4 linked regions of the Alligator mississippiensis genome follow. The protein of the gene in region 1 purifies or fractionates together with the protein of each later gene. This does not show direct contact. Links are inferred from orthologs where the notes say so. Each region holds a gene or a part of one and is shown in the gene's direction. Other genes may lie near its edges.

The links.
Region 2: the proteins of PPP1CB (region 1) and PPP1R12C purify together in Homo sapiens (affinity purification with mass spectrometry; 3 studies listed by BioGRID and IntAct, with this or other methods). This does not show direct contact. The link is inferred for Alligator mississippiensis from reciprocal best matches to the Homo sapiens genes PPP1CB and PPP1R12C.
Region 3: the proteins of PPP1CB (region 1) and RAI14 purify together in Homo sapiens (affinity purification with mass spectrometry; 3 studies listed by BioGRID and IntAct, with this or other methods). This does not show direct contact. The link is inferred for Alligator mississippiensis from reciprocal best matches to the Homo sapiens genes PPP1CB and RAI14.
Region 4: the proteins of PPP1CB (region 1) and PPP1R10 purify together in Homo sapiens (affinity purification with mass spectrometry; 5 studies listed by BioGRID and IntAct, with this or other methods). This does not show direct contact. The link is inferred for Alligator mississippiensis from reciprocal best matches to the Homo sapiens genes PPP1CB and PPP1R10.

Annotation. Positions count from the first base shown.
Region 1 is NC_081824.1:176,137,650-176,144,737, forward strand, and holds the start of PPP1CB (serine/threonine-protein phosphatase PP1-beta catalytic subunit), read left to right. Parts: upstream 1-4,086; 5' UTR 4,087-4,313; coding exon 4,314-4,365; intron 4,366-7,088. UniProt on the Homo sapiens protein: Protein phosphatase that associates with over 200 regulatory proteins to form highly specific holoenzymes which dephosphorylate hundreds of biological targets.
Region 2 is NC_081828.1:39,232,961-39,240,229, reverse strand, and holds the start of PPP1R12C (protein phosphatase 1 regulatory subunit 12C), read left to right. Parts: upstream 1-4,257; 5' UTR 4,258-4,272; coding exon 4,273-4,542; intron 4,543-7,269. Other genes in the region: TNNT1 (troponin T, slow skeletal muscle), read left to right, coding at 1-77, 225-265, 1,190-1,235. UniProt on the Homo sapiens protein: Regulates myosin phosphatase activity.
Region 3 is NC_081826.1:280,132,446-280,140,157, reverse strand, and holds the start of RAI14 (ankycorbin), read left to right. Parts: upstream 1-4,708; 5' UTR 4,709-4,797; intron 4,798-6,084; 5' UTR 6,085-6,168; intron 6,169-7,712. UniProt on the Homo sapiens protein: Plays a role in actin regulation at the ectoplasmic specialization, a type of cell junction specific to testis. Important for establishment of sperm polarity and normal spermatid adhesion.
Region 4 is NC_081834.1:53,548,859-53,556,365, forward strand, and holds the start of PPP1R10 (serine/threonine-protein phosphatase 1 regulatory subunit 10), read left to right. Parts: upstream 1-4,496; 5' UTR 4,497-4,519; intron 4,520-4,956; 5' UTR 4,957-5,372; intron 5,373-7,507. Other genes in the region: MRPS18B (small ribosomal subunit protein mS40), read right to left, coding at 1,738-1,835, 2,136-2,283, 3,707-3,811.

The DNA of each region.
Region 1 (7,088 bases):
AATAACAGAAAGGAAATTAAGAAAGAGGAGAATGATCAGTGGAAGTTTGCCAGAAGCACCAGTACATGCTTAACTCCACTCAGAACACCAGTAAAATACCCTGGGATTCATCCCTGTTTGCTGCAAGTGGCTTTTCATGTCTTCCTGGTCAATGAGAATGTTGCTTTAAGTCCAAATGCAGCATTTCTTTCTGTTTTGTGGGAGATGATGAGCCTAATTACTGTATGTACTGAGTTAATTCCACTGATTTAATGCAATCACCCCATTATAAAACAATTATAATACAAGAGTAGAAAATCAAACCCAATGTACTTAACTGAGCTTTTCAAGAACGCATATATATTAGCTATTTGGTTTAGCACATGATATGGCGTTAATATAAAAAGGAAGATGCATGAAAAGAGAGTTTGTAACTGAAATCAAGAAAATAAAAAAGCAAGGGATTTCCCCATGCACCTATCTTCAGTCTTTGTTGTGGGTTCTCTGTTGCAGCATCTCTGCTTGTCCTGTCCTTTGATTTTTCTGGCATTCCACTGAAACATTGAAGAAACATTTTAAAGGGCCTACTATATAAAGCTATCACAATTTGGGTTTTGTTCAATGTACCTTTTAGGTTTGTTGGCTTTCGGATTTTTGTACTGTTGGGCTCTTTGTACCACTGTGTCACAATGTGACATCTCTATCCTGTTGTCATACAATGGCCTATTACCAAGCAACATCATCATGTCACAGCTTAATGTCATGATAGCTTAAACCATGGGAGTCAAATGCACCCAGTCTCATGGGCCAGAGTATGGGCGTGGGGCCAGCCTGCATGCTGGATTAGCCCCACAGACTGGTCCCATGTGCTGGATCCAGCTCTCATGGCTGGTCTAGTGCAGCCTCTGCATGCAGCATACACCATGTGTACTGCTTGTAATGCAAACACTAGCTCCAGACCTGCATGCTGCATGCACACACCTCCTGGTCCTGTGTGCAGCATGCAGTACGTGGGGCTGGTCTGGCATGCCTGCTACACACTGGACACAGTGCTGGTCTGGGGCATATGCCACATGTGGTGCCCACACCAACCCAGTCCTATGGGCCAGATTCAGCATGCAGGGTTGGTTTGCGTCCCCATACCGACTGGCCCTGGATCTAGTGTGGAGGGCTGGTCCAACACAGATGCTGCATGTAGTGCGCATCCCAGACCAGCCCCATTCTATGTGCAGCCCATGCCAGACAGGCTGTGTACCACATGTGGCTTGCAAGGCCAATTCCAGTGCATACTGCATTGTAGCAGGAAGCACTGCAGGCCAAATGATCCAGCTTCATGGCCTGGATCCAGCCCATGAGCTGTGTCTTTGACATCCCTGGCCTAAACTAACATTCAAGGAAGTTTAGTAGCGTGAATTGCAAAGGGGACAAAAAGTGCAACCTCTGGTAGCACATCTACTGCATTTGGTAGCCATGAACCAGTTAAAAAAAAAAAAAAAAAAAAAAAAAAAAAAAAAAAGAAAGCTAAATAATCAGGCTTTCTAACTCTCAGCAAAAAATGAACAAAGATTTCCAAGTGTCATTTAGCCCCCAATGTTAACATAAAGGTCTAAAAAAGAGTTTGTATATGCATATATGCTTTCAGCAGATGAGCTGAAATGACATTTTATTATCTGCCGTTTGCTAATGGGAATAAAAAGTCAAACTTTGAGTCTTTTTATAATTCTGAATCCTCTTGTTTTAGTATACTCAGCAAAAATACATCCTCCTCCTACATATCAAAAGAGCCTCTCCTCATGTTAGTGTTTGGGCACCCCAACATAGTCTCCCACCTATTCATCACCTTGCCTTAAGGATGTTTCTTAAAATGTTGCTCAGACTTGCTTTTCCCTGATCATGATGTGAAAACTGATTCCTGAAGATTTCTTAAGATAACATGACTTTTCTGGTTGGTGTGTATTGATGGAAAAATTCAAATGTAAGTTCCTAGAGACATCTAGTCTGATTCTATATTTAGTCATCTAAATAGTGACTTGATATTTCTACCCAGGAGAACTTTTACAATTTTTTTTCTCCAATGCCTGATGAAGGATGTTTGTGCCCAAAAGCTTGCAATTAAATAATTTTTTTTTTTTACAAAAATCTGGTTGGTCTAATAAAAGATATCATCTCTACTACAAGTCCTGATTGATATTTCTAGATAATTTACAGTTTACTCAGCACCAGAAAAAATAACTACTGTTCAGCTGGCTATATGTAGATGAGCATGTTATGTCTCTTTTCATGAGAAGAGTTTAACTGCTACTTTTAAAAGCATTTTTCTGCCCATGCAAGTAAGCACTTGTTGGCATGTGCATATACTTAAATGGTTTTCAAGAATGAATCTTGAAAAATATTTCAGGAATGGAAAAAGAATATAGTGTTTAAAGGTCCTATTCACACTGCAGCCCAGACCTTTCTGATTAGGCTATAGATTTTGACAACTGTGTTAATCATTGGTTTAGTGATTAGCTTGGCATTCCAGCATTAACAACTTTTTTACAACAAACTATGAGCTTTGACAGGTGCAGGAGGAAGGGTGCACCTGTCAATAAGCAGCCTGTTGGGGGTCTAACATTTTCAACCCTTACGCTTTGAGGCAACTTCTGTTTAATTATAAGGAGAAATTCTCACGCAGTGACATTTTTAGGGGCTGAGGTACTAAGGAAAGCACCAAAAATCCCTTGCACCGCATAAAGCAGCTGAATGTGAGCTTCCACCACACCAATCATGTAAGGGTGAATTTACCTCGCATATAACACATTTTTGGTATAAAAAGGTCATCGCATAGGAGTGAATTCGCACATGGAGAACCTGTATAAAGCAGGGGAAACCTGTAGTGTGGTTCTCTGCACTAGATCAGGTATATCAGGCTGGGGCAGCACAGGGCTGGATCAGGGTACCTGTGGGCTGGCCCTATGCCACTCATCTGGCTGACTGAAAGGTTGCGCACCCCTGCATGTATGACAGGGGCAGGCAATTATTTTGGGCGGAGGGCCGCTTACTGAGTTTTGGTAAGCCATTGAGGGCCACATGACAGGCAACCAGGGGCAGATAAATATTAATTTTCTAATTTTTTTAGGGGCCCCGTGGGCCCGATAGAATGGCCTGGTGGGCTGCGTTCAGCCCACATTTTGCCCACTCCTGGTGTCTAATGTGTGCGTGAACACACAGCCAATTTCTGCACTTCAGCCAAACCAGCAGTGCGGTGTACTGGGATAAAATGCATGCCCACAGGACTGGCCCCATCCAGGACATGCAACTTATCCAAACAGCTCCTTCAGCATGTGGAGCTGTCAGGGCTGTGCCACGAACAGTCACCGAATTGACCTGTTCCCACCATTTTTAAGGCATCTAATAGCAGCCCTTCAACAGCGACTTCCCATTCCTCTTTTCTGGCCCACCTGAAGGGAACACAAGTAGCCCGCAGGATGCACAGACGTGGTGCCAGCTCAAAGGATCAGGTCAGGGGAGTACCACTGAGCTGCCAGGCAGCATAACCTCGCCCTGCGTGGCATCACATCGGGGTGCTGCAGTGCGAACAGGAGGCAGCAAACAGGGCTCACACTGTGTTATGCACTGACACTACTATTTGTGCACTCGGCCCGCGGGCAGAGCAGAGGGCTGCCCCGCCCCGCTCAGGCCCGCCTGCTACCGAGAAAAAAAAGCAAAGCCGCACACGCATGCGCACTCATCCTAGTACCGCAAGCGCAGCAGCCCGCCACGCCTGCGCAGTCGGCCCTCAAGCAAAGCGGGGAAGAGGGGGGGGGAGCAGAAAAAAAAACCCTCCGCGCCTGCGCAGTCGGCTCCGAAGCGGGAAAACAGGTGGTCAGGGAAAAGCCCTCTGCGCTTGCGCAGTCGGCCCTCAAGCTTAGCGGGAGGAGGGTTGGAAAAAAAAAAAGGAGCCCTCTGCACCTGCGCAGTTGGCCCTCAAGCGAGGCAGCCGCGAGACAGGGAGGGAAGAGCCCCCTCCCCTGCGGCTGCGCATTTCTGGGAGTGCCTGGAGCAAAGCAGCCGCGGCAAGAGACGCGGGAGGGGGTTTTGCGGCGCATGCGCAGAGGCGGCCTCTGAGGCGGGGAGGAGGGGCGGCTGTCTCTCTCTCTCTCTCTCTCTCTCTCTCTCTCTCTCTCTCTCTCTCTCTCTCTCTTCCGCCCCCATTCCGCGGCGAGGGCGCGAGCCGGGCACAGTCGGGGGCAGCGCGGGAGCAGTCGGGCGGCCGTTGGTTGCGCGGGGCGGGGGGAAGCCGCGTTCGCCGAGGCCTCTCCACCCCGCCCGGCGCCGAGTCGGCTGGACACAAAATGGCGGACGGGGAGCTGAACGTGGACAGCCTCATCACCCGCCTGCTGGAAGGTGAGCCCCCCCCTCCCCAGCGCCCCCTTTTCCCTCCCCCCGCTGGGGCGGGGCTGCGAATCCCCTCTTTCCTCCCCGCCACACCTGGGGGGCAGTGTGTGTGCGGGCGGGGGGCAGTTCCTCAGGGAGATGGGGGGGGGGGCGCGGGGGACCTCGGTGCATGAGGGAATAAATCCTCCTGGAGATGGTGGGAAATTTGTTGCTGTCTTCTCCTTTGCCGAGGGGGACCTCCTTGTGCCCTGAGTATTCTCAGGGCTGGGTGAACGTCCAAGTATATGCCTAGGGCCCTAAGTGAGGAAGGGGCCTGCTTGTGCTTCTTCTATACCTATTATAATTCTGGAGTGGGAAAATTAAAAAGTAATATACACAGTATTAAGAAGGGGCCCACGAATGTGTTTGTGTAGGGTCCACTAAAGGGTTAAATCCAGGCCCCAAACATCCTTGTTGTAAAGCTTCCCCCTGTTGGGGTGGGGGGGTCTTGCCTTACACCCTGCCACCCACCTGCAAGAATAGGCCACTGGGGCAGAGGGGTTGGGTGCACGGTTGCACAGGGATGGGCAGTGAATAGGAGTTGCGGCAAGGCTGCCAGGGGTGTTGGTTCTGCCTTGGAGAACACGTAATGCCAGTAGTTTCCCTCTGCCTGAAGAAGGGTGTTTGTGCCCAAAAGCTTGCAAAGAACAATTTTTCAACTATTTAGTTGGTCTAAAAAAAGATATATTACACTTACCCAAAGGACCACGTCTGCCTATGTCCTTAGACCAACACGGCTACAGTCAACAACCACAGAATTTAAGATGTATGCAATAGTAAATTCTTCATAACATATTTTTAATTAAATACTTATAAATCTCATGTGTCCATTATATGTAAATGCAAAACGAATTGGACATAAGTTTCTTTGCAAGTGGTTTTAGTCTGATGCCACGGACTAGGTAGCTGTACATCCAGCAGGTAAAAGATCTGGACTTTGTACTATGAGCCCCTGGGCTGTAATCTGTGCCCCGTCCTGTTGGGGCTGACGGGGGGGGGGCTGTGCCAGGTTGTTGTCTGACTTCATAATGAGTAAACAGTGAAAATCTGGGGTGCTGATAGATGGAGAGCGTGCGCCTGGCCACAAGAGGGTTGTTGGGGGTAGTTCTGCTAATATGTTTGTGCTTAGTGTATTGTTGCAGGAGGCATTTCAAATGCTTGTATTTGTCCTTCGGTGGAGTGTAAATATTTGTTGGCTGGGCAGATGACAACTTACCTTTTGAGTTGCTTGAAATCTAAGAATGTTTATCAAGTAAGATTTTCTGTACAGGCCCCTTTGTGACCACTTAACATGCACTTTCCAGCATAAGCTCCATTTTCAGGGATTAAAGACTTTCCGGCCTGCATATATACATCTTCCATACATAGGGGCACTGGTAAATTTTGTCCAGGGTAGTAATCTATTTTTTTTCTAGTTTGCTTATTTGTATTCCTATTTAATTGATACAGTTTATTAAAATATTGTAGAACCACTTTTTAAGCACTTGGTTGTCTCGTTTTTCTTAGCTATCATTTATCTTAATAAAGTAAACCATGAAACTCCATGTATACAGTAGCTGCTTTCCAAAGAAAGTGCATATCCATATTTAAAATAGTTGGTAAGACGTAGTGTTTCCAGGGGTTTCATATAACAACTAAACAAGATCATAGCCATCCTAGGTTTGGACCAGTCTAGACTGTAGTAAGCAAATTTGTGTTAAAAATGGCAGTGTATTTGTTTGAAAACTATTACATTTTTAAAGACAAATTTGTTCAAATGTGTGTTGTGCTGTTTGTAGGTAGTCAGTGTTTTCTGAAGCTGTTTTTAAGTTTGATTTACTTAATTTAAATTATGCAAAAAAGGTAAGGAAAACCTGTCTGGCTTGTAGCAGTAAGAGTTCTTCCTCTCCTCCTCCCCCCCCCCCCCATTTTTGTTACCATACTGCTAACCAGGGGTTCTTTTAAGTTTCTTCCTTGCTTCAGAAAGAGAATCTGTCCTGAGAATTTGTCACGGTATCATCTTTAGCTTTTAAAATTACTTGGTGTGGGTGAGGATTTTTTTTCTTACATTTCTGTTTTACACTTTCTGTGCTACCAGTATGCCATAAGATGAGTAACAGTTTGAGTAACGGCATCTTAACTCAGAGGTTTCTTTTATGTAATCAAAGATGCTTACTAAGTTTACAGTTTAGTATGGTGTTGCTGGGTAGTGCTCTTTCTTTCTCTCTCTCTCTTTTTTTTTTTTTTAAGTATCAGTGTAAAATGTGTTTTGAGTGGGGGGAAAAATGGTTTGTTAAATTGCTCTTCGGCTGAAATGTTTTTTGACAGATCTTCATTTTTTTTAATAGGTTTAACTTGTAAACACAGAGTTTTAAAGTTTCTTTTTATCTGTCTAAAGGGAGGGTGTTTTATATGGCAGCTGAATTTACAGCCCTGTCAAAACCCATTTGCATTAGACATATCAAAAAGATGGTCTTTGCCTCAGAACTCCGTGTAGCTTCAGGCTGTACACTTACTGGTTGAAGTCTGTTGTAGTTTTTTTATGCCCTGTCACAAATGTTAAAAAAACCCATGTCTTACCAATGTACTTCTGTTAGCAAGAGCCCCAGTAGATGCAGTTTTGCTAGCAAGAATAGTTATGTAGTTTGCTCAGTATAATTTGCATTTCCAATAGAAGCAGCGAGGATTTTTTGGGGGGGTGAGATCTTTTTATT
Region 2 (7,269 bases), on another chromosome or scaffold:
AGATGCATGATTGGATTTACCAGCTGGAATCGGAGAAGTTTGACCTCATGGAAAAACTCAGGCGCCAGAAATATGAGGTGAAGGGGATGGGGAATGGGCATGGGGCCTTGTCCCCTTTAGGGGGCACTGGCTCTGATCCGGCCCTGTGAGAAGGGACTGGCTCTGGGGATGGGGCAGGCTTGGTGAGGCAATCCCATGCATCTTGCATTCTTTCCCCCCCGCAGATAAATGTCCTGTACAACCGCATCAGCCACGCTCAGAAATTGTGAGTAGTTGCAATGTAGCTGTTTCCTCTCTATGGGAGAGTATAGAATCATAGAAAATGAGGGTTGGAAAGGACCTCAGTAGGTCATCTAGTCCAACCCCCTACTCAAAGCAGGACCGTCCCCAACTAGATCATCCCAGTGAAGGCTTTGTCTAGCCAGGTCTTAAAAAACTCCAAGGATGGAGAGTCCACAACCTCTCTGGGTAATCTGTTTCAGTGCTTTACTACCCTCCTAGTGGGAAAGTTCTTCCTAATATCTAACCTAAACTTCTCTTGCTGCAACTTGAGCCCATTGCTCCTTTTTCTGTCATCTGCTACCACTGAGAACAGTCCAGCTCCATCCTCTTTTGAACCCCCTTCAGGTAGATGAAAGCTACTATTAAATCCCCACTCAGTCTTCTCTTCTCCAGACTAAATAAACCCAGTTCCCTCAACCTCTCCTCATATACATGAATTCCCTCAGCCCCCTCACCATTTTTGTTGCCCTCCACTGGACTCTCTCCAATTTGTCCACATGCTTTCTGTAGTGGGGGCCACAAAACTGGACACAGTACTCCGGATGTGGCCTCAGCAGTGCTGAACAGAGGGGAAGAATCGCTTCTCTTGATCTCTTGGCTGCACTTCTCCTAATGCAGCCCAGTATGCTCACAACAAGGACACACTGTTGTGTGTGGGACCACCCAGGCCAGAGACCAACCACCTCCTCCATCCCCCAACCCTTTTTCCCCATGAGGGAAGGAGGAGATGGGCTGATACTGAGATGAGCTTGGTGAGGCCAGAGGGTTTTGACACCAAAACTGGCTTGCTCTGGGGAAGATGCTGAGATCAGCTGGGCCCAGGGTTGGGTTGGGGCAATGGTATGTTTGGGGGACAGGAATCTGGGGGCCTTGAGGTCTGTTCTAACCCTCCCCTTTCTCTCCATAGCAAAAAGGTGCCTGGCAAGGGCCGTTTCGGAGGCCGCTGGAAATAAACGCCAGGCCCTCAGGCAGATCGCCCCTGCCACCCTTCCCTCCTGCATCCACCCTCCTGTATCCAACCAGATGATCCCCACCTTGACTTCCACCCATCCTGGTTCCTGCTGGCATGGAGATTCTGCCCTGTGTGATCTGGAAAATCAGGAAACTGGTGTGAGCTGTGTCCTGTGTCCAACTACCTGGGCCATGTAATAAAACATATCCCTTGCCCTTGGCTCATGGATGGAGCCTCGATCTGGTTTGTGGAGCAAGGGAGGGAATTGTGTATGCATATTGAGAGGGGGAGGGGTGTGTGTGGCTTTACACAGAGCCCCCCCTAGGCAGATGGGCCCCTGACACTTAACTGTCTTCTAGATCACCCCCCCCCCCCAAATAATTCCCCTCCAAACCTCCCCTCTACCACAGGCATGGCTCCCCTGCTGTCCATCACACACACTTCTGCCCCCACACAGATTTAAGCTGCTTCCAGCTGCCTACCTCCAATTGCTCCCCTCCTCCCACCACACAGCAGGGCCTGTCCCCCTAAAATAAGCCCTACCCACTTGGGAGCTGACTGCAACTTGGTGGCAGATCTCTAGGCTTCAACAACAGGGTGGGAGGGATCAGGTGGGCTCCACTGCCACCCTTCCCTTAATACATGGAAGTCTGATGCTCTGTTAGGCAGTTCCTAGGATCACCAGTTGGAGGGTTGAAGGAAACAAAGGCTTGTGCTGTCCCCAGGGATTCAATAACTGCCACCAAAAGGCAGTGTCAGAGTAAAGGCAGCTCTTCACAGGTCAGCCTCACATGCCCTCTCTAGCCCACCAGGGCACTGGCACCGCAGTAACATACAGAGGGATCAGGACTTTGAATAAGCCCCTTGTTCAGATACACAGGGCTTGGCCCAGCTCGTTCAGCAATGGGCCCAGACTCCCTGTAGACTCAGGCAGGCACTGCATGTCCATCAGTCCCAGGGAGTGGGAGAGGAGTTTTGCTTTGTTTCCCATGAATGCTAAGATCTGGGGGCCAAGGCTGCTGGCAGTAGGAGATGCTGGAAGGTGACAGGGGAGAATACAGGCTATTGCCAGTGGGACAGGGACGGTGCACTAGGAATCAGCCTAAAGCAATGTGGAGCCACAAAGCTGCAGCCTACTAAGGTGCCCAAGGATGGGAGGTTTCCTAGACTCAGACTCCAGCTCAGGGGAGGCTAATTATTTCAGGCGGAGGGCTGCTTACTGAGTTTTGGAAAGCCATTGAGGGCCACATGACAGGCAGCCAGGGGCAGATAAATATTAATTTTCTAAATTTTTTAGGGGCCCTGCAGGCCAGACAGAATGGCCTGGTAAGCTGCATGTGGCCTGCAGGCTGCATTTTGCTCACCTCTGAGCCAGCTGGACTCTATTTCCCATGATAATTCTGGGGTGGGGGACTCCATTCTCATGATGCAGCAGGCCAGCACACACCATTCCCCAGGTTGCTTCTGGGTTGGGGGCTCTGCTCCCATGATACAATGGGACATCAGAGTGAGGGGGAGTGGCAGTGGGCAGGGCTCTGCTACCCTAAGGCCCCATGGCCAAATTGCCTGGGGACTCCATTTCCAGCATGCTTTGCAGAGGCCAGGGGCAGCTGGTGGGTGGGGGGAGAGGCAAACTCCATTTTCCAAGATGCCCCATGGGCAGGGTGAGAGAATCCATAAGTGCCATGCGTCTGCTGTGCACCCTCTCCTGTGATGCCCCAACAGGTGTGGGGTAAAGGGATTCCATTTCCCATAATGCCCCACAGCAGTGGGCAAGAAGGGACTCCCTTTCCCATGGTGTACTGCTGTGACTCACACCCGCTCAGTCTCTCATGATGCTCTGGGCAAGTCCCACCACACCCTGCAGTGGATGGATGAGGGGGGAGGGACTGTTTCGTACATTGCACGAGTGACTCCCCACGCCAATGATGCTCGGTACCTAGGCAAGGGACTCAATTTCCCAAGATACACTGCGTCACACCCCATCTCCCCCTGCCTCAGCATTACAGGGATAGGGAGGAGGGGGAAACTGCACTGCCCATGATGCCCTGCAGCAGGTGGGAAGAGACGAGAAAGGAAGAGAAGGGGACTCCCTTTCCCATGATGCACTGCGAAGGAGGAATTCATAACTATGGTTACCATATTTCCAGGTCCAAACATAGGGCAACTGGGGAGGGGGGTCTGATTGCTGGGGGGCGGGGGGCAATCCTCCCATCCCCCCGGGCTCTACCAATGCCCCTCCCTCCCGACTCACAGCCCCTGTCGCCCCCGTCCTGACCGCGCCGGAGCGCTGCAGCTGCGGCCGCTCCAATTCTTGCGGGCGGTACGAGGGAGGGGACGCCTGTGACATGGCAGCCCGGGCTCGGGCTCCCGAGCGGCGCGGCCCCCCCTGAGCAGCATCTCCCGGCTGCCCCGCCACGCTAACCCTAACCCCAACCCCCTGCCCTGCCGCGCCCCCCCACCGTTTCCTCCTTGACAGAGCAAAAACCCTCGTTTTTCCGCGGCGAACGGGAAACGCGGCTCCGCGGAGGGCCCTGGGAAATGCAGTCCCATCGGCAGAGCCCAGACCTCTGCTCCCAGAACCTGAACACAGTCCTGCCCCCCGGGCGGGGCGCTCTGGAGGGACCCCTCCTGCTGCTCCTGGCGCTTCTTCCTTCCCCAGCCTCAACCCCCACACCACGCCCAGCAACTACTCCACCTCCTCCCCAGAGCTGGCCCTCCCCACGGGGATCCCATTCTCACACCACTAGTGGCTCACATCTCCTCTCCCAGCATGCCCCGCGACGGCGGCTTTGTGCAATAGGGGACAAGGACTCCTGTCCCCATGACGCACTCCTTCCTCCCCGGCTCTTCTAGCATGCCCGGGCAGGGACTCACTTTCCCGTGACGCCCCGTGCCTCCCGGCATGCCCCACGGCTGCTTTTCCCGGCCTGCCCCGCGCCGGGGGCGGGCCCGCTCGTTTCCATGGCGCCCCGCCCCCCGCTTCCGGCGCCCCCGCTGGCTGCCGAGGCAGGAAGCCGGGCGGGGGCCGGGGGGCGATGGCGGCCGAGGCGGCAGCCGCGGCCCAGGCCCGGCGGCGCGAGCAGCTGCGGCAGTGGGAGGCGGCGGCGCCGGCCGGCCCCCCGCGCCCGCCCCGCGCCCGCGCCGTCCGCTTCGAGCGCGCCGCCGAGTTCCTGGCCGCCTGCGCCGCGGGGGAGCTGGCCGAGGCGGCCGCCATGCTACGGGGGGGGGCCGAGCCCCAGCCCGACGGCCCCGGGCCCGGGCTCATCGACGGCACCAACGCCGACGGCATCAGCGCCCTGCACCAGGTGCGCGGGCGGGGGGCAGTGGGATTGCTGCCTCCCAGGGAGAGGAACGCCTAGGGAGGGTGGTGGGGTCGTTGCTGGAGGGCAGGGGCAGGTCCTAGGGGCTGGAGTAAGTAGGGTTGGAGATGGGAGCATTGGAGGCAGTGAATGGGTGGGGGACTGTGGGATTTCTGCCCTGCAGGGAGAGGAAGGCCTGGGGAGGGGGGCCATTGCTGGGGGTGGGGGCAGTTCCTAGAGGAGCTGGGGGCAGGGGGGATGCTGGAGGCAGGGGGTGGGGGCAAGCTGGTGGTGGTGTGAGTAGTGGGATCCCCATGGTGAGGGCCAGCTCTGGGGAGGGGGTGGAGTAGTTGCTGAGTGGGGTGTGGTGGTTGAGGCTGGGGAAGGAAGAAGGGCCAGGAGCAGCAGGAGGGGGAGGAGGTCGTTGCTTTGGGGGTTGGGGTCATTGCTGGTGGGTAGGGTGGGAGGAGGGGGTAGTTACTAGAGGATCTGGGGACACTGGGGTGGGAGAAGCTGATGGTGTGAGCAGTGGGATCTTCCTGGTGAGGTCAAGCCATGTGGGGGTCATTGCTGGGAGGTTAGGAAGAGGACACAGTTACTAGGTGAGCGTGGGAGAGTGGGGGTAGGAGGAGGGGTCCTTGGGGTCAGGGTAAGGGGTGTTGGAGGCAGGAGGGGGTGGAAGTAACTGGCGGTGTCAGCACTAGGATTTTCTCTGTGAAATCAAGGCCTGGGGAGGGCAGTGGGGTAGCTGCCTGGGGGAGGAGGAGGAAGGTGCTAGGGGAGGAAGAAGGAGCTGTTGGGGCAGAAGGGTGATCGGGGGGGGGGCAGTACTGGGGCTAGGAGGAAGAGGCCATTGCTGGGGGTTGAAGGAAGGCCCCTTGGGGTAGGAAGAGGTTACAGTTATTAGGGGAGCTGAGAGCAGTTGGGGTAGGAAGAGGGGGTAGTGTGGGGGCAAAGTGGCTGCTGCTGTTAGCAGTGGGATCCCCTCTGGTGAGCTCAAGCTATGGGAAGGTGGGTGGGGTAGTTGCTGGGGGGAGTCCTTGGGGTTGGGGGTAGCATGGGGGAACAAGTGTTTGGTGCTTTTAGAAGTGGGATCCCCTCTGGTGAGCTCAGGCCCTGGAGAGGGGATTGGGATAGCTGCTGGGGAGGGAGGAGGTGAGGGGCAACAGAGGGAGGAGGAACGGGCAGTTTTGGGTGGGGGGGGTGGTAGGAAAAGAAGGGTTTGGGGGGAGCTGAGGGCTAGAGGGACAGTACTGGGGTATAGGAGGAGGAGGGGTGGTTGCAGAAGGGGTCCTTGAGGTTGTTGGGGGTGGGGAGCAAGTGACTGCTGTTGTGAATGGTGGCACCCCACTGCCAAGCTCAAGCCCTGAGGGGAGGGGGATGAGTAGTTGTAGGGAGCTGTTGGGGCAGGGAGTGAGGAGGAAGGGGTAGCCAGTTGAGGGGTGGGAAGCATAGGAGGAGGGAGTTGTTGGGGTCAGGGGTGTTGGGGCAGTGGGAGGGAACACCTGACTGCTGCTCCTTGGCAAGCGGAAGCCCTGGTTGTCTCTTGTCCTCTAATCCCTCCAGTTCGGGGGGTGCCAATTGTATCTAGGCAGAGGGGAACCTTGGGGGAGGGGTGGAGGGTAGAAAGAGCCCCCATGGGAAGGGTGCATCTGGGAAGCAAGGGGGTAGGGCTTGGCAGGGGCTTGTCATGCTGGTAGGGTCAGGAGCAAGGGGGTGAAGAGGCTAAGGTTAGGCAGTTGGGGACCAGAGGCAGGGATGGGGAGTGCCAGATGCTGGAGGGGAAGTATCCTCAGGAGCTGGGGGGGCGTGGAGCAGGAGTGGGGCACTTGGAAGGAGGGGTAGTTACAGAAGAGGGTGTGTGCTGTGGGTGGTGGGGTGGGAATAAGGAAGGGGAACTGGGTGCCAGGGGCAGGTGCAGATGGAGGGTGGGCAAGGAGGGCTGAGGGGGGTAACTAAGTGGCAGCAGATCTGGGGAGGGAGTCCTGGCGCTGAGGCTTCTGGCAAAGGAAACAGTATGGTGGGGGCAGGGAGGAGGGAAAGGCCTCCAGCTCAGACAGTGCTGCTACATCAAGGCAGCTGGAGCCATTATGCTCTGTATGGGCATGCCCAGCCCTGCACCCTGCCAAGGGGCATCAGCTCCCCCAGGGTCCGTGCTGCTCAATTCCCCACATCGCTAGGGCAGCCTTTGTTTCTGTTTGCCAGAGTCCACCCAGGTGGGACTGGGGGATCAGAGCAGCAGGGGTGGAAACCAGCCAGCAGGTCTGCCTACTGAGAGGATCAGGATGCCTGGGTTCAAAGCCCAGCTCTGAAAGCAGAGAGGAGTCCAGAGTCAGGGTAGGCAGCTCATGGAACTGGATGCATTCCTCTTCCAGAGCGGGGATAGAACCCAGGTGTCCTGGCTGCCAGCCTCCCCCATGCAAGGGAAATTTGTTGGAAACCAGAACCCATCAGTTACATGCCTAGCATGGCCTGTTAGGGGCAGCTTGTGGCAGGGACTTTCTTCTCTTCTGGGCACTGACCCCAGTCTGACCTCAGGGCTGGGGGCAGGCTTACTCAGGGGGTTAGGGAGTGGGACAGCTCCTCTTGTGTCAAGCAGTGGAGGGGGGGAGTGCCAGCGTCAGCTGGCTCCAGCTCAGTCCCGTCTCATGCTCATTTGCTGCTGCATAATGAGGTGGTCAGGTCTTGGTCTGTGGTGGGTGGGTGTGAGGGAGGGAAGTTGTCCCTGTCTTG
Region 3 (7,712 bases), on another chromosome or scaffold:
CTACTCAGAGCAGGGATTGTCAATTTTTTGTCTCTCACAGCATGGCGTGCATTGGTGGTGCTAACAAAGACTAGACAGTCAAATAGTAAGGGATTAGTAGTCTGCTCTGGATACCCTGAAATGGAGGCAAAGGAAGGACACTGAGTAACTCCACTCTGTCCTAACAAGTTATTAAAAAAATAAAAGAGCTGTGATGGGAGCAGATATAAAGTGCTTATGCTGTAACCCTCCTAAACTTATTTATTAGAGACAGAGCCCAGCACTTGTGGGAGACATCTGTGAAAAGGGTAAAGAAAATCATTTTTGTAAGCATAGAATAACAATGGAACAAAAACATGTCACTAAATCTGAAAGCAAACTTTCTTAATGGCTCCTAAGGAGAAAAATGGCTCAGGATTAGCAAGACAAACTATATTTGGACTGGATATAATAAAACTTGAACCAGTCCAACAAGAAATGGGAGTGTGGCAGAACAGTGAGAGACCATTTTTGGTCTCTGAAATAAAGATTAAGGAGCTTAAACAGAGGAAGGTGAAGCAGTCCAAAATTCTGCTTTATTTTGTATCTGGTTTCTGGAAGGAGATATGATCCATATATATGCAGCCAACAATTAACACAAACTAGGTAAAAAAAACCTGTTAACATAGTATAAGGAAACTGATGGTTAGTTCAAGTCACCTATGCTCTTTTCCCTGTTCTAACCAGGCTTAAGGTCTACGTGGTCCAAGTATAGCTTGGAGAAGCATAAGGGCTGCTCTAACTTACACTTGGCTGTGCTAACTCCCTAAGGGCCTTTTCCAGGAGCTGAGATTAGCCAGTACAGGAAAATATCCTTCTTGTCTCTGACATGCATCCTGTGCACAGGAATAAGGGGGTGAGCTGTCAAGACAGCCCTTATCATCAGTACTGTGTGTCTGAGAAGCATACAGCAGCAATATGATTCCTTCTTGCTCTGGCATGACTCAGAGACTAGAATCTATCTACTGGCTGTAGCAATAACTCTTACATAGCGCTTCCTCCTTATAGATCTCAATATGCTTGATAGAGGAAGACATGTACATCTAGGAAGTGTGAAACAGACAGTTGAAAGTGGCCACCCAAGATGCTGCAGCAGCTCAGTAGCATAATCCAGAAGAGAATCCATGCCTCCAGGTTCCCAGTCTTACGTTCTGTCCTGTGGCGATGAAGAACTGTTTTGAACCCATAAAATACTCCTATGTCAAAGCCCTTGCAGGTGGCAAAGCAGAGCAGTGGTAGCCCAGAATAAATCTGCTGTCCCTCTGTGGTATGGAAGAGAGGCTAACAGCTCCTGTGTATGGACCTCTTGCTTGCCAGCTGCCAAGTGAACTGGAAATGGCCCTTAGGTTGTTAAAGAAAAATAAAAAAGAGATTACTTTTAAACAGAATGAGGTTTCCAAAGCCATCAGCTATTTTTAGGAACCCAAAGGGGAACATGTGGAGGAAACTGGAAGCACGGTCTTGCATAAAAGGGTGCTAATTTAGAGGGTCATCAGACAAATTAAGATAATTTAAGAAATCTAAGCAAACTGTGTGTGGGTAGCTTGCAAGAGCACTATCCTGAACTATAGTTTTGAGAAAATGAACAATACTTCACTCTGTTTAGTCAGTAATCTATTCACTAGATCACCATCAGTGAGAAGTATGCAATCATGAAGTTTGGCAGACAAGGTTCTTTGGGTAAATCTGATATCTTTGACTAGACCAACTCAAATAGTGGGAAAAATTCTTCTTAGCAAGCTAACAAACACCCTTATTCAGGCTGAGGAAGCGTCTGCAGATGGTCTGTGCTCTTCCCGGATAGAGTGGTAAAGCAGCCAGAGGCCAGTGTATATGCAAGGAAGCCAGTAGATTAAAAAAAAGATATTGGATTTACCCAAAGAACCTTGTCTATGTTCTTAGACCAAAACAGCTACAACCTACACCCCTCAATCATGATGTGTGAATTTGCTGTCGACTGCAAGTATATTATTTATTACATACAACCACACCCCTCACACATCAAAACTCATCACCCCTTTGTCAATCCAAAGATGATAGGATAAATTAACAAAAATCAAAATATTTAAAATTTAAGAGATCTGATTTGCTACATCATTACACCAGTTTCATGCTGGTGTTTCTAAATCTGTTGGTTGGTCTGAAATTGCACTGTAACCAGATTGTTGGAAGAATCTGCTAAAAGAATACATAGTAATTGTTAACTCAGCCATAGTGGATATAGGCAATGTTTTCACAGAATCCTGAAGAAGTCGGGCTGGAAGGGCTCTCCAAAGGTCATCTAGTCCAACCCTTGCCTCAGGCAGGATCACCCCTCTACAAACCATCCTGTACAAATCCATAATCTAAACTCTTAGTAAAACTATCGTGAACCCTGACACAACACGAGACATAATACCCTAACCTGCCACAGGTAAAGTAGGAGAACCAGGCCACCCTACATCCTGCTTCTGTAAATGTTTGTCAATATATGCTCAAGAGATCCCACATAGAAGGCCACACCCTACAGAGGGGGAAAAACCCCCACAGTCCATACCAATCTGACCACAGGGTAATATTCCTTCCTGACCCCAAATACGATGATCAGTCAGACCTGGAGCGGGAGGGGCAAGACTCTCTAACCAGGAACCTCTGGCTTTTAAGTCCCACCAGAAGCATTGGGACACCCATCAAAATCCCCAGCCTTGGCTGCAGCCAACACCCGGTGCATCTTGAGGAAGGCTAAAATACACCGTGACACAGGTAGCAGAAAGGAGAGGAGGGCACAACCAACAAATATGTACCTTTATTTTAAAGGTATATATTTACAGCAGAAACAGGAATAAACAAATACTACAATATGTAATGCTGTAGCTAACACTGCTGTAAAAAAAAGGTTTTCTTATTTTTCTGGGTTTCAGGAGTACTTATACCCATGACTTTGTGCTTTATAAGAAAGAAAAGGGGCCTGGTGCATTTGTGACTATGCTCTCACAGTTAAAACAACTGTCACTGCACCCAATGGGGATCACCAGTTCATTCAGATCAGCGCACTTCCCCGTGACACTGGTGCGGTCTGTGTCACACCACTATTTGCGGCTGCTCTAACCACAGCCGTATGGAGAGGAAGTGCTCACTTCCTCCCAGTGCTGTCCACTGTCTGAGGCTGGTGGATCCTCAACAAGAGGGAGATGGTGCTGGGGTGTGAGAGGCTGGCTGGTGTTACCAGTCCCTGGCTATAGTCGGTGGTGGCTTTAGGGTTGTTGGGGCTCTTGGCAAAACAGTCATTTGCGGCCCCTTAGAGGCATAAGTTGAAGAAAGAACAGCTTTAAATAAGTTGGAGAAAGAAAGAGCTTTTTAACATTGAGTTATATTCTAGGTTCATTGCATCTTCTATGTTGGCCCATCTACAACACAAATTCCTCACAGGGCATAAGCTGATAGCCAATGTAGGGCCCTGGGCAGTCATCCGGTTTCTCCTTCCCTAAGGCTGCTGCTGCTATGGTGGGGCGTGAGCTGCAAGACAGAGGAAGGCTGCAGATCCGGTGCCCGGCGGGCCCCTGCTGGCAGCATGGATGCGGCCCTAGCTGGGGAACAGGGAGGGAGGGAGAGGGGCTTCCTGAGGGGGAACCAGCTGTGGCACAGGGCAGGGCAGGTGGGGAAGCTCAGGGCCGCTGGTCTCTGTTCCAGGAGGGCCCAGCTGTGGGGCCCAGGCAGGGCCGGACACAGGCGTGGGCGAACCAGCCACCCGCCCAGGGCCCAGGCGGAAAGGGGGCCAGAAAAGGGGGACTTGGAGGTCATGACTGACCACAAGATGGAACATGAGCCACCAATGCGATGCCACAGCTGGCAAAACAAACAAAACCCTGGCTTGCATTTATTGATCCATCTCAAGCAAGACCTAGGATGTCATCCCCTGTTGTACTCAGCCTTGGTGAGGCTGCAGCTGGAGTACTGCATCCAGTCCTGGGCCCTGCACTTGAAGAAGGACGTGGAGAAGCTTGAGCGAGTTGGGAGAAGAGCCACGCGCAGGATAAGAGGGCAAGAGGACAAGCCCTATGAGGACAGGCTGTGAGACATGGGGCTCTTCAGCCTGGAGAAGCAAAGGCTCAGGGGGACTTGGTGGCTGCATGTAAGTATATAAGCACCAGGATCTGGGGGAATGTCTGTTCACGGGAAGACGAGGTCTGACGGTCACAAACTCCTCCAAGACTGTTTCAGGCTGGACATAAGGAAAAACTTCTTTACTGTCCGAGCCCCCGGGGTCTGGGACAGACTCCCTGCAGAGGTGGTGCAGGCACCTCCTCTGGACTCTTTTAAGAGACATTTGGATGCTTATCTTGCTGGGATCCTTGGGCTCCAGCTGACTTCCTGCCCCCGGGGCAGGGGCCGCACCCCGCGCACCCGCAAGGTCCCTCCCAGCCCTCACCTCTATCAAATCTGTGAAAAATGGTCATTTTTCGATGATGATTATTACGAGTATCGCTGGCGAAGGGGGGCTGGCACTGAAGTGACCCCAGGACCACCGCGACCTGGTCAGAGCAGGGCAGAGCCCCTTCCCCGACCCGCGCGGGGCCGGGCGGCGCACGCGGCCGCGAGGGCTGGTTCCCGCCCCGCCCCCCACGCACCCACGCGGGCGAGGGGCTTCGCGCGGCACGTGACTCCTCCAGACCCCCCGCCCGGCGGCGGTCACGTGGCCCAGTGATGTCACGGGCTCCCGGGGGCGGGGCCCGTGCTGCTCCGGCGCCTGCAACTACTTTCCCGGGGCGGCGGCGGCGGAGCCGGTCCAGGTCCCACGCGGTGAGTGTGTCCGGCGCGGGGCCCCGGGGAGCTCGCCCCATCCCATCCCGTCCCGTCCCGTCCCGCGCTCCTTGCCCGAGCAGGAGGCAGCGCAGCCCGTCCTGCCCCCCGGGCCTGCTCCGTCCCTGGTCCCGCCAGAAGTGTGGCCCCCCGCGGGGTCCCGGCCCGGCCCGCCCGTGGAGGACACCTTTGTGTCGGCTCGGCCCGCGCCTCCCCGCCCCGCGCTCGTGTCCCGGCGCCCGCTCCGGGGCAGCGGCGGGGCGGGCGTCGCTGGAGCCGCGCCCGGGCTGTCTGGCGCTGGCTTTCCGGCCGGTCCCCGGGCGCGCTCCGGGAGCAGGGGCCTCCCAACGACCCCTCCCGGCCCCGCTTCAGAAACGCACCCGTCCCCTCGCGATGCCCAGCGCGGCCGCCCGCCCGGCGCGTACACACCGGCCACATGGCAGGGGCACGAGTCCGCGGGAGACCGCTGCTCCTGCTCACCTGGGCGGGAGGGTTTTTAGCAGCACGGAGCTCTTACGTTTTGCCTCCTTTCCCCACTGGGGCAGGTGCTCGCCAAGGAAGGGCTCCCAGAAGCGGGTGGAAGTTTTTTGTTTTTCTTTTAAAGGCAGGTCTAGATTGTGGTGGAAGTTGCTGACACCGTGTTAGCTCCAGCTGCGATAATGGCCCGCTGTAATTAATTCATTCTCATCGTGCTCGGTTTTTTTATTGCCTGAATGATTAATAGATGAAATGACATTAATTCCACCAATAGATTTTGTTAAAAAAAAATGCAAAGCTTTAACCTATTGTCTTCTGCCTAGATGGCAAAGATTAAAATAAGCAAAGGAGAACTATTTTTCGAACTTTAACCATCCAAGTCGGGGGTTAGCAACCTTTCAGTAAGGGGGAGGGGGTGGGCACGAATTAACAGCACAGAAATGAGGAGGGCCCAAGTGTGCAGTTTGATTGTGGCTTGGATCTTCAACAGCAGTGTGACACCGGGTGGCTCCTTCACAAAGCACAGGTACAGGGACTTGCCCCAGCTCCTTGTGGTCTGTTAGCAGCAGGAAGGAATCTCCCAGCAAAGCAACCCCCTTCTTGCAAACTCTAGGGAGAGACCGTTTCTTGCCCTGCAGACCCAGGGGGAGTTGGGGGCAGGCACCCTTGCTCCCACACTGATTAAAGGCGGGTTCCCCCATGCACGCCAAACCACAGCTGCAGGTTTATACCTGCAGAGCGTTCCCATTGCTGCAGTCTAATAAGCGCAGCCCCACACAGACTGTTCCCTGACTGCCTCTGTTTCATCAGGGACATGCTGGAGCTGCTGTTCCAGTCCCTGCTGTTACTGCTGATTTCCAGTGTGTGGCCTGCCAAGCTCTGGGCGAGCAGATGGTGAGTGCTCTGGATGTGTGAAGGAGGCGTGTTGGCCACGCGGTCCATTCTGCACCATATATGTGGCAATAGCTGCAGCAACAGGGACTAGAACAGGCGCCAGCATGTCCCTAACCAGCTCTGTGCCTGGTGCAGAACAGCTGTGGGATGCGTGGAGGAACCACAGTTGCAGCCATGTAGGTCAGTCTGTACCCCGCACTTGGTTGCAGCAGTAGGAACTGGGACAGAAGCACCAGTATATCCATGACCAGCCTGGTACACGGTGCAGAAGGGACTGTTCAGCTGCAGCTGTGAAGCTGTTTTGCACCATGCTGGTCAGGGTGGTGCTGGTGTGTCTGTCCCAGTCCCTACTGCTGCAGCTGCTGCTAGGCACATGGTGCTTGCAACTCTTCCATATGGCTGAAAGCTCACTGTGCTTTCAGGTGCTCCTTGTGATCAGCAGGGGTCTGGAGCTTGCTGGACTGGATCCAGCTTACTGGTCAATGTTGCTGACCCTGCTGGCTTTGGTGACTTAATTTTTTTTTCCCATCAGAAGTTACAAATTATAGTCCCTGGCAATAGCTCTTCTATTCTCCACGATGCTTAAATGCTATGTAAAGATATTGTTGTATATTAGATACTGAAGAAGGAACATATTGCTTATCCCAACCTAAGTAATAAGTTATGGCAGAAGCTATAATTACTAAGCTGCTTTAGACAACCATGGACGTCAGGAAAGATGATTGGGTTCAATTCAGTATTGTCATTTGTAGCTAGAAGCTGATGGAAACCGTTGTAGAAGACTATGGCAGTGATTCACAAAGGGTATGCCGAGGCACACTAGTTTGCCATGAGGGTGGCAGAAATGTGCTGTGACAGATGGTGCTTTTCTTCCTTTTTTTTTTTATATGTAAAGTTGGGGGGACATAGCCTGCGTGGAGAGCTGGACAGTGTAGAGTGCAGTGTGACTGTGGCCCTGGGGTGCCGGCGGGATGCGGTAGAGGCAGTTTGTAGGTGTCTGATCCTGGTGCGCGTCCTTAGTGGGAAGCTGCACGTGCACTGCAGCCAGGGAGCAAGGGGCTGGGGGAAGATGTGGTGGCACTGGGACTGGATGCCTGCGGACTGCTGCTGCTGTACCCTGCCTGTACCCTGGGGTCACTGGTTGTGCTGTATACCTGGGCACACAGCTGCATCCTGCTTGGCATGCCTGCTGTTCTCCCTCACACTGGGTAGGTAGGTGCAAGTTCTGTCCCCACTCCCTCCTCCCCACTTCCCAGGTCCAGCTGATTTGTGGGGGTCTGGGAGCCCTCTCACCTGGCCCCACCCCACAGATCTCCAGGGTGCCCTTGCCAACAAGTATCTGTGCCCCACTCCTTGCCTCAGCCATGCTTGTAACTAGAACTGTGCAAAACACCATCGTTTCGTTTCAGCATCCCTTTTGCCATTTTGGAGGGACAGTGTTTTGTTTTGTCGTTTTGTTTAATTTCGAAGTACTGTTCTGTTTCGTTTCATCAAAACTGTTTTGCTGTTTCAATGCGTTTCGACGTTTCACCCATAGGCTCTAA
Region 4 (7,507 bases), on another chromosome or scaffold:
CAGCTTCGGTGGCCTGGGTGCAGAGGCAGCAGCCAGACAGAAGCTATTGCTGGGCACTGGGAAAAAGCAGGATCTGGCAGTAGGTATGGCTGCCTCCACTTTGCCACTGATGGGCCCTTCTGGCCACAGCCACCTGGAACCAGGTGGAGGGCAGCACCAGCATGGGCTCTGGGTAGCTGCAGTAAGAAGGGCCTGGCACTGGTGAGGGGGAAGGGACTGCATCCAGGGCTGGGTCCTACTTTTTCCCTGTGCCCAGCAGCAGTTTCTGCCTGGCTACTGTTCATCGTGGCTGGGTCAGGAGGTTTAAAGCAGGCACTGCAGGGACCATAACACCCTGCGTGGGGTGGGCCAGGACCAAGGCTGTGAGCTCAGCCCAGGGCTCGGGCCCCGCCCATGCAGGTCCCAGCCGGTCTCCATGGGGCCAGAGCCGGAAGGATCTGCTGCTACCAGAGTTGCTGAGAAATGGAGTCTAGCCACAGAGACATCCCAGCCCAGCTGAATGCCTTGGACCAAGGGACCAGTTGTGGGCCAAAGTCTTTCCACAGGCTGAATTCTGCCTGGCCCTGCTCTAGGTCAGGAGTCAATCCATGTCTTAGACCAGAGGTCAGCAACATTTTTGGGCAGAGTGCCAAAAGTGCCCACAACCTCAACTTGTATGATGCTGGCATACCAGGGGTGGACAGTGAGGGTGCTGCGAGGGGCCCAATTGTTGTGGCAACGCAGCCACGGCCCCTTCCCCTGACGCACGCGTACCAAGCAAAATGCCTTTGCATCTCATGCTCTGGCACATGTGCCGGGAGTTGCCTACTTCTGCCTTAGGCCCTCTGTACCATACTGTTAAAATAATCACACCTAACTCTCTTCATCTCTTCCTCTCAAAGAACAGTTCATGATCCCTACTTGACAAATGAGGAAAATGAGGTACAGAGAGGGGCAGTGATTTTCCAACTCACCCAGCAGGTAGTAGCATAAATAGAAATACAAGTCAATTCTCCAGAACAGCGGTCCTCAGCTCAAGACTTGTTAGACAAAGGAACACCTATTGTATGCACCCTTGTCCAATTTCCCACCTCTGTCACCTTCCCACTGCATCCCCTTACCCAGAGGTGCCTGTGGGTCCTTTGGGTCACTGACTGCTGCACAGGTGTGCTGCCAGGTATGTTACACTCTCTGGATCCCCCTGGATTGTCTGCCTGTTCTTGAATGTCCTCCCCAATTACTGTCACCTACCATTTTACCTGAACTCAGACTTTCCAAACCTCCTACCCCTTCTCATTGACTTTATGTCTTGCCAAAGCTGGTTGGACCTTAGAGCTTTCCAGTCCAGTCCCACTTTCAAAGCAGAACCCATGTGTTATGGGTTCTATTCTATTCTGCACTCTAAGCTACTCAAGCCCACTCCTTTCCCAGAGCTGGGATAAAACCCAGGAATCCTGATTCTCAGGCTGTTCTCTAACCCATTAGACCCCACTCTCCCATTCCAGCATTAAGAATTACACCCAGAAATTCTGATTCCCAGTCTGCTTCAGTTCTATATGTCCCTACAAGCCACCTCTCCGATTTGCCAAGATTTTGCTGTTGGTACTTCTCATCCCTTCTCCCCACCTCTCCTCTTCACACTGAGCAGCTGAATTTCAAATGCAGAATCATCTGGTGTTGGAACTAAGCACTACTTTCGACCCTACTCTATCATCCAAGGCGCACACTTCCTTGGCAGGGAGAAGGGGCTGCACTCACTATGCACTTCTTGCGTGTCTTCTGAGGTCCGATGGAGCCCCGGTGGTTACGTCGATAGCCAAACCAGACAGGATTGTTACCATATTTCTCAATGTATTCTGTGCAGAAGAGAGGAAAGTTAACAATTCCTTAAGGCGAGCTGACCCTAAGGATTCTAAAGTATATGAATAAACATAGCCTCGATAGCTTTAGCTCCACTATGTGGATATTAAGAGAGAGACTAGCTAGTTATTACACAGCAAGCTGTGCTCAGAGATGGGAAGAGAACCCAGCTATCTAACTCCTAGATATCAGTTCCCTCCAAGAGAACACAAGAGCCCTAATTCCAAACTTTCTGCTTCAACGGTGCCAAGTTCATAGGCCTAGCATTGACCTATTTACAGGCCCTAAACTCATACCTTCTGTCTCCAGATACTCCCAAGGCTTCTCCTTAAAGCGGGATTCAGTGTCAAAAGCAACTGGCTCTTCAGATTTGGCTGGGTCAGTTTCTGTGCTGTAGGCCCGGAGCTGCGGGAGCTGGAGGTGGAGTGAGGCACTGGGTAAAGCCTGAGAGACAATTAGACATGCAAGGAAGTGACCAGGTTATTCTGAACCAAAGGCTGATATGTAACAGAGAAATGTAGTTACCTCTTTGGTGAGACAGCTGATGATAGCTGCACAGAACTATCACATAGGAACTGCTTGCCAAGAGCTGAGAGTTTTACCCTGAATGGAAAAAGCTGACCTACAGAGCTGAGAAAGTTCTGGGAGATTTTGCAGGGGGTGGGGTGGGGGGGTGGTTAATCAAATAGGTTCAACAACACATAAAATGTTTTGCTGTTAACTTCCCTGGAAAATTAAAAACAAAACAAAACACACCAAGGGTAACCACTAGCACCTAAGGTGTCGCTGCAAGGAGCTACTGGACAGTGTAAGGCAACAGTCGCGAGAAATTGTTTCCACCATAGCTGTTTTTGCCTCGAGTCTCACAGCATCCTTAACTGTCATTCTGAAATGGCTCGCCAATGAAAACATCTCCAAACACTCTGAAACACTGAAGTTAGAATGCAAGGCAGTGTGATGGACCATAGCACTGCAATCCAATGTGATACAACAATATTATACATGGTGCCATAATTTGGCCTATCACAATCACATCACATCATACAGCAATCTGCCATACAGGATTTCCAATACCTAAGTTAATGATGTGATGAAGTTGTCACATGCTGAAGAAATAGGTTGCAGGAGCAGCCAAAAACGTACTTATGATATAGGCATGTCAGCTTAGAACAAGGAATATCGTTACACCATGTAAGTGGTCAGCCTGCCCATCCACGGGGATGACACAGACACAGGATCACAGAAAATGAGGGCTGGAAGGAACCTCAGGTCACATCCAGTCCAACCCCTTGCTCAAAGCAGGACCAGCCCCACTAGATCATCCCAGCCAGGACTTTGTCAAACCGGACCTTATAAACCTCCAAGGAAGGAGCTTCCACCACCTCCCTGGGTAACCTGTTCCAGGGCTTCACTGCCCTCCTAGTGAGAAAGTTTTTCCTAATATCCAACCTAAACATCACTTGCTTCATCTTGAGACTATTGCTCCTTGTCTTGTCATTGGTCCCCACATCGTGTCACGTCAGCCAACGCGGCCTGACACCATCGTAACGTGTTGACATCACGATGACATGCTGCGCCCGAGGCACCAGTATCCCAGCACCACAGCAACCCATCCTGGTGGCAGGGACAAGGTGACACATCCCCTGAGGGCAAAGACATTACAGAGCAGCTGGCAGCGCCTCTGCACGTCAACCATGGCAGTGGCAATGATGTCCTCTTACGTATCCAGGCGAGATGACATCAAGGAAGGGGACACCCCCCCAATGGCCCTGCCACGCGGTGTGCAATGACATTACTATGCAGGTGTCACTGAAGCACGGCTGGCAGCGGTCAGGCCACAGCCAGGCTCCTGAACCCTGCTCCTCACCTGGGTCCACAGGAGCCGCCCTCTCTGCCTCAGGCTACTCATCGCCCTTCGCCAAAGCATGGTCCTAATGGCCAGCGCCATGTTAAGAGAGGCACAACTACGCATGCGCGCTGAGCTCTAGCCTCAGCTGTCCCGGTAGCCGCCATCTTGTCGCACGTGATCGCTGAGGTCAAAGGTCATTACTCCAATTTTACTATATTATTTTCTTAGTCCCTAGTGATAAAGTACGGATAGGAAGAATTATTAACTTGTGAAACGCATCATGCATTTCGTAGAGAACTGGAGATAACCCCCCCCAGAGGCGCCTCCCCACCCTCGAGCATGCGCAGTGCTCAAGAAGGAATAAAAACTGCGCCACAAACACAAGACAATAGCGGGCGGTGGTCGCGCATGCGCACTGGCCCCGCCCGGAGCAGCCCACTGCTGCGCTTGCGCAACGAGGCTGAGGAAGCGCTGGGGAGCGGTCACCTACCCGCGCCTCCTAGCCCACGCCCCACGCCACGAAAATGGCGCCCGCCCGCGCGCATGCGCACCGGGCCCCGGCGAAACTGCGTCACAACTTTTCCCGATTTTAAAAACGGTTTTGGAAGGCGGCAGCCGCTTTCCAGTGCCGAGAGGCTTTCCGCTGCGGCCTCCGATTTCGGTTTGGGCGTTGTTTCAGAGGATCAGTCCAGTCGGGGCGGGTGGGGAAGCGGGAAGTGGGCTTTGTTCTCGCGCCGCCGCGCGAGCCGGGGGGGCGGGGCGGGAGGGGCGGGGCTCCTTATAAAAGGCGCCGCCCGCGCGCCTTTCGGCCATTCTGGGGTCTGGTTAGAGGTGAGTACAGAGCCGTGCTGCGACGCGGCTTGTGGGCGCTGGGCGGGGGGGCTGCAACCTCCACCTGGGGCGAGCTCGGGCGTTACAGAGGCCCGTGGAGGACGAGCCCCTCGGGTCTGGCGGAGGGAGCTGGGGTCTTTCGAGTAAAGGAGGGTCAGGGTTGGTCAGGAAAGTCCCAAGGCACAGAAAAAACCTGCTCCTTTTCTCCCCCTCTCCCTGACCCCCCCGCCCTTTATTTATATATATATATTTCCTCTTCCAAATTGTCCCTTTAACAACCCTTTTTTTTGGCCTCGGGAAGGAAACCTTTCAAACTTAATGAGTTAGATGATGTGGTTTGTGCTATGGTTTTGTTTTTTTAATGACCTTTTTTGATCCATTTCTGTCAAAAAATGCTAATCTATGCGCTCCCCTCTTTTTTTTTCTTCCTGTTCCAGGTTTGTTTGGTCCTGAAACTGCGTCGAGCTTGGCAAGAGAAACCAGAGAAAATCCCCCCCACTCGGTCCTTGGAAGACACAAAAAACCAGCCACCATATTTTTGACCGTCCTTGGGAAGCCGTTTAAATTCTTTGTGACCTGAAGGAAACAGCCACTTAAACATACAAAAAAACCAAACAAATAATAATTAGAAACAACCTGCCCTGATCTCTTTTTGTTTTTTGTTTTTTTTTTTAAATCGAGCAACTTTTTTTTCGTTTCTTTATCTCGACAAACAGCCACAAACCAAAAAAAGTTGCTGTATTTTTTTTAAAGCCATGACCAAAAACAAAAAAAATATTTTTTTTCTTTAAAATACACAACTTAATCCAAAACCAAACTTTGAAGCGCTGTCGACGAGAAAAATAATTGGATAGTAAGTGTCGAATTTTCAACCAACTGACCAAAAAAAAAAAAAAAAACCAAAAAAAAAATTCCTCCGTTGTGCCAAAGAAACTAATTACAGGGAGAGACCAAAAATAGGCGTATGTCTGTTTATGAGGACAATAGACTTTGTTTCAGGCTGTTAACCCTTGAGATTAAAGCATTTTTAAAAAATGCGTATTTATAAGGACTACGATGGTATCTTAGAATAATCCATCGTCTTTAGGACTATGAAGGGTTAATGAGCTCCCATGCAAAAGATGGCGGTGACTAAATGATAAAGTATCGCTTCTTTGTGTGGGAGACAAGGTTGTTTAAATGAGCAATCTGTACATAAAGATTGCAGGGTAAGGCTGTAGGTAACGAGGGAAAGCAATTTCTGGTATTAGTGGTGGGATTGGTTTGAAAGATTAGCCTTGCAATGCTGTCAAATCCTCTTATTTTAAATTCAATGTAAATGTTAAAATTTTTGTGTGACTAAAAAAAAAAAAATTAAGCCCTGCCTGTCATTTCAATAATGTGCGTATATAGAGAGAGTGAGAGTAGCAGGGGAAAGGAAATTGAAAAGGATTTTTTCTAAATTTGGGTGGCAATCTACAAATAAAGATTGCAAGGAAGTTTAGTAGCTTAAATATTGTTTTAAAATTCAATGTTTTTTTTTTTAAACAAGGATTTTGTTAATTCATAGATTCCAATTACAATGAAATCTTAAATGCGCTTTTAAAAATGTAATTCTAGCTTCATATTCCCCCCCCTTAATCAAATATGGCGAACCTGTTCTGTCTGCCTGTCTTTGTTCCGACAAGCAGCCTTTTATTTTATTTTTTTTATTTTATGTTTTGCAGGTTGATCCCATTTTTACCTTCCATTTCTGCCCCTCCCGTATTTGACGGGACACAGTTTAGCCTCCCCAGGATGTATTGTCATGGGAGAGTGGTGGGAAGAGATTCTGTATTGAATCTTTGACTCCCAGTAGCAACCGAACCTGAATTTATTTTTTTGTAATTGTGTGGGGTTTTATTTGTTTTTGTAATTGAATTTTGTAGGTTTGGGATAATAGGATAAAATTGTGGGGGGGGGGGAGTGTGTGTGTGTGTGTATGTGTGGTAGGGGCTGTGTTACTGTACATGTCCTCTTAATGGATACTTAAGCCTTGGGGTTTTTTCTTGTTTCTTCGCCCTTATGCTCCTAAAATGGCGCCTGCCTCATTTTGTCTTTCTTCATGTACAAAGCAACCCACAAGGCTGTGGGCAGGGAGGTGATGTAACCAGTTCCAAGCAAACTCCTCCCACTGAGTTGCTTGCATTTCCTGGCAAGGGAAGGGGAAGGGGAGGAGGGGAGGCACTTACCCTTGCCCCTCCGTTTCTATACCGATCTAACAAATTCCACTCCCAGCTTCTTCGTCTACAGGAATTTTATAGGCACAAACCTATATAAAGTGCAAAGTACGAGCCTACATCCGCCAGATTTTTTTTTTTTTTGTAGGTTTCAACATAACCCAAGACTTTGGACCTTCTGCTCTCCTGACTTCCTTGTATTTGTAACTTAAGTTGTTTTCTGTCAAGCTTCTCTGCTAGCGTAAAACAGTCTCTTGTGTTTCCTGCAGTCCTGCGAATTCCACTTGTAACTATAGGTTTAACCAAAGGGACGGTGGTTGGGAGAATTCATCTTGATCAGTTAATATAATTTGTGATTTGTCATAACAGATGTGAAATGCTATCACTGGACTCCAAAGGCGCTGTACATAACCCACAAATGTGGGTCAAGGATGTTGTGGGGGGTCTGGGGGGAGATATGTGCATCTCCTCCAGCCACATACACACCAACTGTCTTGTCGGGCAGGGAAAAGGTAAAGTCTTCTATTCAATTAATTTGCCACATTCCACAGTGCATAGTTCCTGTACAATGTACTAGGAAAAGACGTGATCATTAGGAAAAAAAAGGGAAGCCCGCACTTGTATTACTTCATCAAAGGGAGGGAAACAACCACAGTTCACCTGGTAAGCAAACCTTTCTGGTATTAATTACATTTCACAACCTTCATTTCTGTTCCAGACCACTTCGCTTTTTTTTGTTTTTGTTTTTTCCTATTCTCTTCCATTGTCAACTCCATGCAGTGACACCTGC